Oryctolagus cuniculus: one gene and its partners. The protein of the gene in region 1 purifies or fractionates together with the protein of each later gene. This does not show direct contact. Links are inferred from orthologs where the notes say so. Each region holds a gene or a part of one and is shown in the gene's direction. Other genes may lie near its edges.

Region 1 (3,741 bases):
GCGGCTGGAGGTTGGCTGTCCCTTACCCCGAGTTGACCTAGGACCGGTCACTTTCAGGGACACAAACGCCTCGCGGCGGCCCCCTCCTCGTCCTTGCTACCTCCCACCCTGAATCGAGTCCTGTTCTTTTAAAGAACTTGTGTGCCATCTTGTTTTCTCAATTAAAAATGCGTTTAGGTAAGGATTATATACTTTTTTGTTTTTTTAGTCTGCCACGTGGGTGAAGCACAGCATTGTGTATGCGAAAGCATTCTGATATAAAGGAATTAATCCACAAATTGTCAGCACCAGTTCTGGTTCCTGGCTGCGGAGTGCTATTTGGGGCTGTTTTCGTCCAGTTCACAGCCCGGAAGAATGCAATCATGAGACAATTAGAGAGCAGCACAGGAAAATCTATAATCAACTGCCGTAAGGGATGAGGTAAAGGCTGCTGTAAGTGTAGCATCTGTCTGTGGTCTTGTCTGTAGAGGGGGTAACCAACCTGTCAGCCCTCGTGGGCCACACCCTTACTGCCTCCAGTGGGCTCTGCTCGGAAGACTGGGATCTGGGGGGACTCCCAGGGCTCCAGCCGGCTCGCCTCATCATGGGCTCCGAGACGACAGATGAGGTCCAGCAGAGGGAGAAGTCACCCTTCCAATCCAGCCAGAAATGGCAAACACCTGCCTCTACCCAGCCCTGGGGTCAGCTGGTCCCTGTGAGGTCATCGTTCCTATTCCCCAATCAACCTTGAGGTCACTGGGAGGCCTGGGGCGAGGTGGAAACCCGCGCTGAGGTCGCTCGGAACTCATCATCACCAACCAGGTCAGAGCTGAGCCACTAGGTCCCGGATCTGGGCCGCCAGACCTCAACCCGAGGGCGCCCTACCCCCACCCCGCCGCATTCTGGAACGCGTAGTCCCAGAGCGACCCTTTTCAAGAAGGCACACAGAAAAGGAGTAACAAGAGCGGGGCACACTGGGAACCGTGGCGTCACGGTGGGGACGCCCAAGGAGCGGACGCGTGATGCTTTCTGGGACTTGGAGTCCAGGGTTTGCCTCCGCGGTCGAACCGGAGTCCCGGGAGTCGAGTGCTGCAGAGGACCTTAGCGCAGCCTGCTGGGGGCTGTAGTCCTCTTGCCCGAGTCTCCGGACACCGCTGGGAAACCTGGCCGTCCTAGGACTACAAGCCCCAGAAGGCCATGCGCAGACAGGAGGCGGGGCGGGGCCGGAGGCTGGGGTGCCGCCTCCTCTGCAACGCCGGGGCCGGAGTCTTAGAACCCAGGGCCCGCAGGGGTCCCCGCGGCTGCCGTGATGCAGAAATACGAGAAGCTGGAGAAGATTGGGGAAGGTAATAGAACCACGAGATGTTCCTGCAAGATCTTCTTCTGCAGACCCTTCGGGATTCCTTGCAGCCTAGGCTCTCCCGTAGTCTGCGGTACCTGCAGGCTCCGACCTCAGCACTGGCTTGCAGCCCTGGCCCCCAAGCTCAGCACTCCGTGCAGACACCAGCCCTGCCCGTGTTAGCATTCTCCGCGGACTCCCACTCCCAACGTTAGCCTCCCTGTGGAGCCGACCTCCCAGCCGCGGCACGTCCTGCGTTTCCCACGCCTAGCTTCAGCACCACTTGCACATCCTCACCCGGACCCCAGCAGATCTTCAGCCTTGACATTTCTGCAGGCCCTCAGTTCTCTCCCAGAGTCCTGCTATGGCCAGACCTCCCGGAGTGCCGCCCTTATTAGCGCTGTCCTTACCCTGGCCTCCGGCTCAGACCCTGGAGCCTCAACCTTTAGGCCTTCCCTACCCTGCAGCGTCCTCACTTACAAAGCTCTTGCAAGCCTGCCCCTCACCCTGAAGCCTTTCCCTTACACACTCAAGTGCCCTTCCCCCTCCCCATTTCCTGGGGATGGGGAGGGTGCCGCATCCTCCCCCTCATCTATGACCTCCTCCCCTTAGGCACTTACGGAACAGTGTTCAAGGCCAAAAACCGAGAGACTCACGAAATCGTGGCTCTGAAACGCGTGAGGCTGGATGACGATGACGAGGTAGGACCGGGGACACCAGGGCAGGGAGTGGCAGATGAGGAGGCCTGGGGTGAGTGGGATCTGACTGCTGCTCCCTCGCTGTGCAGGGTGTGCCGAGTTCAGCCCTCCGGGAGATCTGCCTGCTTAAGGAGCTGAAGCACAAGAACATTGTCAGGTGTGGAGGGGGCAGGGGGCCCTGCAGGTGGAGGAGGAGGGGGCTTCAGCCTGGTTGGGGTGGTGCAGACGTGCAGACCTGCCTGGCTCAGCCCTTGCTTCTCCGTAGGCTTCACGATGTCCTGCATAGTGACAAGAAGCTGACTTTGGTTTTTGAGTTCTGTGACCAGGTGAAAGGGGATGGGGGTGGGCTGAAAGGGAGCAGGCTTGGGAGGGTGTGGGGCCCAGACGGAGGTTCACCTCTGTCCTGTTCCCCCGCTGCATCCCTTGACAGGACCTCAAGAAGTATTTTGACAGCTGCAATGGTGACCTCGATCCTGAGATTGTGAAGGTGAGGGGAAGGGTGTTCTGGGGGCTCTTCGGGGCTGGGGTTCCGGTCTGTATGCAGTGTCAGCTCTCCTGTTTAGGCACAAATCAGGGACTTTCTGGGGGGGGGGTGTCAGAGAAAGAGCAAACCTGCTCCTGCCCTCCAGGGGCCTCCGGGCTTAGCCAGCATTTCCACATGGCCTCCTTGGACCTGTATAGTGACACTCTGAGGCCAACGGCTATTTCCACCCAAAGAGCTACACTCATTTAATCAACAAACATTTGCTGAGAGTACTAGGCCCGAGACCAAGTGCCTTGGCCCAGGTTCCAGGGGAGTCAGGTCCTGAACCATCCCAGAGCACAATATCCATGTTGATGGTGACAGACTGTACACTCAGGTCCAGCCAGGTAGGGGAGAGAGGCATGGGCTGGGAAGGCAGAAGGCCTATCGGGCTATAAGGTCTGGAAGGGCAGGGAGCAGAGCCACTTGTTTCCTGCTGTACGGGCTGCAAAGCCAACCCTCGGCAGTGAGTGCATATAGTGTTGTCCTGAGCTTGGTGCTGGGGATTGGGTAGGACATGGAACAAAGCTGAGGGTGAGGCAGGGAGCATGCCCATGGCTGGCATCACCTCGTAGCCAGGGTGTCTGACTCTGTCCCCTCTGCCCCTCTCTAGTCATTCCTCTTCCAGCTGCTGAAAGGCCTGGGATTCTGTCACAGCCGCAACGTGCTGCACAGAGACCTAAAGCCCCAGAACCTGCTCATAAACAGGGTACTGCTCAGGGGAGAAGGGGAGGGCAGGGGGCAGGAGCCTGCCCTGAGACGTTTAACAGCCCCGTGCCGTGCCTCCCTCCCGTCTCCCCCCAGAATGGGGAACTGAAATTGGCCGATTTCGGCTTGGCTCGAGCCTTTGGGATTCCTGTCCGCTGTTACTCAGCTGAGGTGAGCTGGGGGGTGGGATTTGGAGTTGAGGGGAGCAGTCCCTGGTGTTTTTCAGCTCCTGCTCCATGACCAACCCGAGACAGTGCCCTCTCTTCTCTGAGCTCCCCTCTCCACCCTCCGTCCCAGCCCTCTAAACGGGAGGGCGTCCCTGTGGGTGGGGTCTTCTCCAGGTGGTCACGCTGTGGTACCGCCCACCGGATGTCCTCTTTGGGGCCAAGCTGTACTCCACGTCCATCGACATGTGGTCAGCCGGCTGCATCTTCGCAGGTGACGTGCTGGGGCGGCTCTGCTCTTTCTCCCCAATCTGGGTTGACAAACAGGGT
Region 2 (3,741 bases), on another chromosome or scaffold:
CCCGCGCATAGCTACTCCAGCCCCAGCCCTGCCCTCCACAAGCCGTCCGGGACCGGCCAGAGGCCTCAAAGGCCAGTTGGAGGAGCAGAGAGGAAAGCAGACGAGACTGGACCCCGGCTGGTCACCGAGGGAGGGGGCTGCCAAGGCGGGAGGTGGCTCAGGAAAGTGTCCCCCCCCACCTCCCCCGTGGCCTGCAGCTGCTGCCGCCCACACCCCCCAGGGCCAGTCCCTGGCCCCCAGCATGGCAGAGGTGTGCAGTGACCACCACCGGGGCTGCCCAGCCCTCCTGTGCGGGCAAACCCCGCAGCCAGAGCCAGCTGCACCCGACGACAGCCCCAGGTGGCAGTGGCCGTCCCCACTGTGAGTGACACAGGCTGCAAGCAGACACAGGTGGGCGCCGGCGCAGGTGTAGGCGGGAAGCCTGGGCAGCCGCCCACTCCCCTCAGACCCTGGCTCTTCTAAGCGAACGAGGGAAGCCGGTGGCAAGGGGGGGTTACCGACCCACGCCCGCCACGCTCACGGGAGGACACCGAGGCACACCGACGTCCCCCAGGCTGGGGCCTGCCCACGCCGCAAACGGGGAGGCACACCGCGCACGCCACAGCCCGGCGCCCCCGCAGCTCTCGAGGCGGGATCTGAACCCGCGCAACCGCTCGCTGCCCTGGGCGGCTTCCGGCTCCCCGGGGCCGAGCCCCAACTCCCTCTAAGACCCAGGGGAGCGCCCGCTGGCACGGCGCCCGCCGCGGCAGTGGTGGCCAATGGGCGGGCGCGCCGGAGGTAGATTTACATACGGGCGCGCCGCCGCCAATGGGAAGCAGGCGGCACGCTCGAGGGGCGGCCGCGGCCGCGCTGGCCAATGGGCGGGCGCGCCGAGGAGGCATTTGCATGCGGGCGCTCCGCGGCCAATGGGCGGCGGGCGGCGGCGCGGGCGGCTCACTCGCAGGATGGCCGCGGCCGCGGCGGGTGGAGCCCCGGGCCCGGCCCCCGGCCCCGCCGCGGCGCCGCCGGCCCCGGCCGCCCGGAACCCGCCGCCGGCGCTGCGGAGGCGCGGGGACTCGCGGCGCCGCCAGGCCGCGCTCTTCTTCCTCAACAACATCTCCCTGGACGGGCGGCCGCCCAGCCTGGGCCCGGGCGGCGAGAAGCCCCCGCCGCCGCCGCCGCCGCTGCCGCCGCCCGCCGAGGCCCGCGAGCCGCCCGCGCCGCCGCCCGCGCCGCCCGCCGGCCTCCCCGGGCTGCCTGCCAGGACCCCCGCGCCCCAGGGCCTCCTCAGCCCCACGCAGGCCCCCGCCGGCCTGGGGCTGGACGGGCCGCGCCAGAGGTGAGTGGGGGCCGGAGGGCGGGGCAGCCCCGGACCCGGGGGTCGAGGGCCCAGGGGGTGCGGGTGGCCTGGCGCCCTGTCACCCCAAGGCGAGGGAGTGAGGTGGCCCGGGAGCCCGTCAGCCTAGAACACCGAGGTGGGCCGACCCGGCCGTGAGGGCGGACACAGGGGTTGGGGTGACCCGGGGACCTGTTAGCCCCGGGCTCGGGGTTTGGGGCCGCCTGAGGCCTTCTGAGCCCTGGACGGAGTTGGGGTGCCCTGGGGCTGCCGGCTGCAGACATAGGGCCGGGGGCGCCCTTAGCTCTGAGCCCCACCTGGAGACGCCCGGACACAGGTGCGGCAGCTCTCAGCACTGCCCCTCCCCCACGCGCTTGGCCCCTGCCCTGGAGTCTGGCCCCCCCTCCGTGTGCCCCTCTGCATTTGCACCTCGTGGGCCGGGGTCTTCCCCATGCCGTTCCTCTGCCCTCCGCACTGCGCGGGACCCCCAGTGCCCACCGCGGCCAGCGTCCTGGGGCTGGCCCTGCAGCACATGGCCCTGGCCAGAGGGGCCTGGCGGACAGGCGCCCGTGCCCTTCCAGGTCGCTCTGGGCCTGCTGACCCCGCAGCCCGGGGTCACGGCGCAGACCGAGCCAGGGAGAGGCCTCTCGGTGGCCCCTCCCTGGGTTGCAGGGGCGCTGTCCTCACCTGGAGGTCATTGGCCGCACTGGCCGTCCTGGCGTGGCAGCCAGGGGCTGGGGGCGGCCGCGTCCAGAGCACAGCGCTCGCGGGGGTCCTGCCCCGCCTGGCCTTGGCTCCCAGGCCCCGCCCGCCGCTGCCTGGCCAGACGGGGGCCAGACCCCCGCCGCGGGACCGCGCACAGCCTTCGGGATGTGGCTGCCGCGCCCGTGTGCTTGCCCCGCACGGCACGGCACTCCTGGGGGACGAGCCCGCTCCCGGGGGACGGGGCCGTCGTGACTGACGGGGCCGTGACTGACGGGGCCGTGACGGGGGCCGTGACGGGGGCTGTGCTGGGGGCCGTGCTGGGGGCCGTGCTGGGTGCAGGCCCGGGTTCAAATCCTGCTTCACCACTCACAGCCCTGTGGCCTTGAGCAGCTGACTGGCCGGGGCCTCTGCTCTGTGAGCCCCACTGTGTGACCCCACTGTGTGAGCCGGGTTTGCCTTGGGCACTTCCTCCCGGCCGGGCGTTGGTCTCTGGCCGTGAGGCTCTGTCTCGCATGTGGCGTGTTCTGCGGAACCAGGAACAGTCTCCACCCAGGCGTCCTGACTTCCATGGACCCTCTGACACTACTTGCCTCCATTTTTTTTTTTTTTTAATTTATTTGAAAGTCAGGGTTAGAGAGAGAGAGAGAGAGAGAGAGAGAGGTCTTCCATCCGCTGGGTCACTCCCCAGATGAGTGCAACAGCCAGAGCTGTGCCAAACCGGAGCCAGGAGCTTCCTCCAGGACTCCCACGTGGGTGCAGGGCCCAAGGACCCGGGCCATCCTCCACTGCTTTCCCAGGCCACAGCAGAGAGCTGGATCGGAAGTGGAGCAGCCGGGACTCGCACCGGCGCCCATATGGGATGCCGGCACTGCAGGCAGAGGCTTAGCCGACTGTGCCACAGCCCGAGAGCAGGCCGGGTCTGGGGTGGGCCGGGCCTCACGGCCGGTGCTCTGCCCTGCTCCCGGGCTGCTGTCTCTCCCTGGGGGCCCGTGTGTGACTCAGGAGCCTGCAGACCGCTGACCACGGGTCCTCGCCCGGTCCTGGAGACCAGCGTCAGGTCCCCGCGTCGAAGGCGGCGCTCCCAGTGCAGCGTGGGGACGTCCTCCAGGCCGTGTCCCTTCCGTGGGACGTCTGCCCCGTGTCTGTTTTCCTCAGGCACTGGTCAGTGCCTTAGCGGCCCCCCGCACCACATCCTGCTCTGCACCCCCGCTGAGGCCCCGCCTCCAGACGTGGGCCGTGCACACATACTGGGGTCAGGGCCTCCGCCTGTCTTTTTGGAGGACGCGGTTCAGCCACAGCACTAACAGGGACAAGGTGACATCTGCACGGTGAGTGACCGCACACTCAGCCACGTGTGGCCACGCACAGCGCAGGGGCGCAGCCGGGAGGCGAGAGGGCTGGGCTGCACAGTCTCCGAGGAGGACACGGCTGCGGCCGTAGGAGCGCCCAGGAGTCACTGGGCATCCCCGAGTGCCCGTCCATCCCACTGGGCGTCCCCGAGTGCCCGTCCGTCCCACTGGGCGTCCCCGAGCGCCCATCCACCCCACTGGGCGTCCCCGAGCGCCCGTCCATCCCACTGGGCGTCCCCGAGCGCCCGTCCATCCCACTGGGTGTCCCCGAGCACCCGTCCACCCCACTGGGCGTCCCCGAGTGCCCGTCCATCCCACTGGGTGTCCCCGAGCACCCGTCCACCCCACTGGGCGTCCCCGAGTGCCCGTCCG
Region 3 (3,741 bases), about 20 Mb from region 1:
GCCTTTCAGATAAATAAAATAAATCTTTAAAAAACCCAAAACCTGGGCCTGTAGACTGCAAAATCATGCTCCTTACTACTGCACCATATACTCCACGAGAAGAGCTGGTTAATTCCTGTCCAAGCCCTGACAAAGCAGTTTCTCAGATAAAGTGAGCCACTCTACCTACAGTTACGGAGACAGCCTTGGGCAGCTCCTGGACCACTGGCGGGACTGTCCCACTTCAACTGAGATACCCACATACAAAGTCTTGTTCCAGGTATCAAGAGGAGATACCAAGGAAGAATACATTCATGCAATATGCAATTATTGAGCTTCTGTTATTTAACAGATCCAGTGCTAGGCACTTGGAACACAGCAAAGTTCCCATTTATACTTCCCAACTAACCACGGAACATACGCCTGGCACCCATAAGCCTAGAATCACCTCCCCAAACGCTAAGTGGCCAGGGAGGGGAGCAAGGGCCTGGGACACGCACCTTTTCCGTCTGGCGGGTGACTAGTGGACTGCTCCATCTGAACACCAACAGGTGTGGGGCCTGTGGGAGAATCACAGCATCGCATCGTCAAACACCCTCGCGACTCTGCCTGCTGACTTTCCCAAGCTCTCTCCAGCAGAGCCAGCTGCTCCAGTTTGCCGAGGAAGACGTGTGAACGGCGTATTTTATTTCATGCCCCAATAAAAGTGACTGGAATGGTTTATGCTCTTAGTCCCTTCGCTAATTGGGAAAAATTATTTCAATTTTTCCTGGAAAATAGTAATTTAATCCAACTCGAACCTCGAGTTTCCTACGATCGGGGAATGGTTCTCCGTGTTCTTTACAGATTTAATTTCCATTGTATTCAGTCCTTTCCTTGTCCAGCACAGTCATTTAAAAACTCGGGTTCCCCCCATTGTCTCTGGAGGACCAGGGTCCAATGAGGACAGGGCAGGCATCGGGATGGGGAAAGAAAAATCTCAAAGCACTACTTGAGAAAATGTTTTAAATAGGATGAAACACAAGCCACCACGCTCTGGTCCCGATGGCAGCCTCAATCAAAGGCATTTGCCCAAGAAAGGCAAGGTCCAAAGCACAGCCACGCGTCTTAAGAGGAGATAAACTACAATTCCCAGCGTGCCTAGAAAAAGGACCGTGGGCCCCGCCCGGCGCCAACAGGACTACAACTCCCACATCACCCTTCATCAAACCGGCCCGCTCTGCCCTCCGCCTCCCTGCTGTTCCTCCCTGTTGATAAGGCTGGAGGAAGAAAGTGGGAACCCTCAAGCCTTTCTTGACCTTCACTGTCTGACAGACGCCACGGGGTAGCACACATTTTTAATGACTTCACCTGCGGTGTTAGTCGAAAGCCTCAACCCCAGCACCCACCCCTGTAGTTGATACGCATGCTCCGTAGTATGCGGGCCAACGGCCCGAGCCTCAGCGCCTGCGCCGTTGTTCGCGCCGCACGCGGTCGGGAGCGGCCACCCTGTTGCGCAAGCGCCTATGCCTGCCTATTGCCATCATCGCGCTCTCTCTATCTAGCTTGCCCTGCCGTTCCTGCGTAGGGGGCGGGGCCAAGGCTGTCGATTGGCCTGTTTTCATGCCGGTCAATGAGATAGATGCGGTGATTGGAGGCGACCCGCAAGGTAGCGGGTTTAGGTGTAAGCCCCGGGGAGGCAGCGTTTTCTGGGCTTCTCTCAGCTTCTCGCTCTCCAGAAGGTTCTGCCGGTTCTTTCAGCTCTGGGTGCCCGGCTCTCCATCGCGCCGCCATGATGGGCCATCGTCCCGTGCTCGTGCTCAGTGAGTTTTGGGGCAGCTGGGGAAGAGACCCCTTTTTCGCCCGCCTCCCTCCGCACTTTTTTCGGGGCTCCCCCCGCCGGGTTCCGCCCTGACCCAGCCACCGAGCTTTCCGGTCATCGTCTTCATTTTGGAAGCCCCTTCGTCCGCTCCCCTCTCTCCCTGGCGCTCGCCTCTCTTCCCTAACGGAAACTGACCTTCCCGACGCCGAGGCCCTGGTCTTCACGTGTGCGGGTCTCGGGAAGCCCCCTCTCCGTGCTCGCCTCCCGCGCCCGACCCCGCTCCACGCCTCTGCACCCTTTCCATCATGGTTTCACCGAGTGGTTCAATGAGTGGTGCTTTTTTTTGCGGGGTGGGGGGGTCCGGCCTGGCCTTGTATCCTTGGCTCATCCCTTAAGTAGCAGCGTGACCTCGAGCAGCTTACTCCACGCAAGCGTTTCCGCCTGGGTCGCGGGGTTAGTAGTATCTCCTGGCAGACGGCTTAGGTGAGGGTCTGGCAGATAGCGGGTGGCATCCTTGGTCACTTCACGTTTCTTTTAAGCACAGCCCGTGTTCGGCTGTAACCCTGCCTCCCTCGCGGGGCGAAGAGGGTGCGATGGTTCCCGCTGACCGAGTTCTCTAGTCTCCACTGGTTCCCGCCCCCCTTTTGGGAGTGTCCCGTTTATGTCTGCCTGAGGGTCTCCACCTCGGTTTTCTGCCCTACTCGGCAGGTTTCCGCGCTGTGTGTCACTGATGCCCCCCCCCACCCACACCCCCCCATCTGCAGGACCGCCTAGGATCCTCTCCCTTACCTTTTGTTGACAGAGTTTTCCTTCTTTTTCTCTATACCTGAGAAATAACTTAAGGAGAAAAAAAATCCTATTTTTTTCTTATGGGCTGTGGGTCCCTATAAGGTCTTGGTTACGCAGAGTGAGCATGGAAATGTTAAATGGATGTTCACATTTGATGGGACTAGATGGAAAGATTACAGACTTAAGTTGTAGGGGAAGGTATAGTTTGGGGGTGGGGGGTAAGCATGATGTCGGGTGGTGACAGCCACTGGGCCTGGGTGAGTGGTGTGCATTTGTAAAGCTCTTGACAGGTCTGGGTTAATCCCTGGCGTTAGTGGTTGTAACCAGTTAGGCTCCCTATTAAAATATGTAGTTAGCTCTTACTGATGATAAGGGGACAACTATAATTTGTCCTGCAGGCTGAGACACCTTTAAAGAAAGTGTTCTTATCACCACAGATTGGCTCTCACTGCCCAGCACGTTGTAATGTGCTGTCAGAGTGCAGTTCCCCCGCTCCACGCTGGAAGAAAGGACCCCAGAGCTCTTTGCCTCTTTACGAGAAGCAGTGCTTGGTACTTCCTTGGGGTTGCCAGCCCTTTGGGGACCTCATCATAGCTGTGGATTCTGTTGCCAGGAAAAGCCCTGCTGCCTCTCCTTTCCTCTCACAGAACCTCAGGGAGTTCACCACCCCAGAGACCTATCCGTGGGTCTTAGGTTATGAATCCCTGCTGGAAATAGGTGGATGCTTGGGAGGAACGTGTTGACCAAGCTTCCAGAGTTGGAGGGAGCATGATGGGTTATTCCTTAGTGCGCCCGGGATTGAAATAAACAAGTAAATAGCCGCTAAATAGCCGCAAGTGTGTATACTTGTCAGTTTGCTGAGGTCTAATTGACAGAAACTGCACATATTTAAGATGTGCCATTCGATGAGCTTTGTTCTGTGTCTACATGGTGAACTCCGTGTGCTTATTTTCATTTTCTAGCTCGTGTACACTGGGGCACTCCTGGGCTCTTAACATTGTTTTTACCTGTTTTAGGCCAGAACACAAAACGTGAATCTGGAAGAAAAGTTCAGTCTGGAAACATCAATGCTGCCAAGGTAGCATGTCTTCTACGTGTCTGTGGTTGTCTGCCTCCAGCTGTCTTCCCTCCTATTTCTGTATTTGCTTGTAGCAGTAAGTTTCTGGTGAATC

Evidence for each region.
Region 2: the proteins of CDK5 (region 1) and CABLES2 purify together in Homo sapiens (affinity purification with mass spectrometry; 6 studies listed by BioGRID and IntAct, with this or other methods). This does not show direct contact. The link is inferred for Oryctolagus cuniculus from reciprocal best matches to the Homo sapiens genes CDK5 and CABLES2.
Region 3: the proteins of CDK5 (region 1) and CCT3 purify together in Homo sapiens (affinity purification with mass spectrometry; 3 studies listed by BioGRID and IntAct, with this or other methods). This does not show direct contact. The link is inferred for Oryctolagus cuniculus from reciprocal best matches to the Homo sapiens genes CDK5 and CCT3.

Annotation. Positions count from the first base shown.
Region 1 is NC_091438.1:22,759,281-22,763,021, forward strand, and holds the start of CDK5 (cyclin-dependent kinase 5), read left to right. Parts: upstream 1-1,171; 5' UTR 1,172-1,288; coding exon 1,289-1,325; intron 1,326-1,930; coding exon 1,931-2,019; intron 2,020-2,105; coding exon 2,106-2,173; intron 2,174-2,281; coding exon 2,282-2,342; intron 2,343-2,446; coding exon 2,447-2,503; intron 2,504-3,152; coding exon 3,153-3,248; intron 3,249-3,343; coding exon 3,344-3,418; intron 3,419-3,588; coding exon 3,589-3,685; intron 3,686-3,741. UniProt on the Homo sapiens protein: Proline-directed serine/threonine-protein kinase essential for neuronal cell cycle arrest and differentiation and may be involved in apoptotic cell death in neuronal diseases by triggering abortive cell cycle re-entry. Interacts with D1 and D3-type G1 cyclins.
Region 2 is NC_091442.1:1,014,203-1,017,943, forward strand, and holds the start of CABLES2 (CDK5 and ABL1 enzyme substrate 2), read left to right. Parts: upstream 1-928; 5' UTR 929-944; coding exon 945-1,318; intron 1,319-3,741. UniProt on the Homo sapiens protein: Unknown. Probably involved in G1-S cell cycle transition.
Region 3 is NC_091438.1:42,394,625-42,398,365, forward strand, and holds the start of CCT3 (T-complex protein 1 subunit gamma), read left to right. Parts: upstream 1-1,435; 5' UTR 1,436-1,750; coding exon 1,751-1,781; intron 1,782-3,585; coding exon 3,586-3,647; intron 3,648-3,741. Other genes in the region: TSACC (TSSK6-activating co-chaperone protein), read right to left, coding at 480-539, 1,368-1,386. UniProt on the Homo sapiens protein: Component of the chaperonin-containing T-complex (TRiC), a molecular chaperone complex that assists the folding of actin, tubulin and other proteins upon ATP hydrolysis.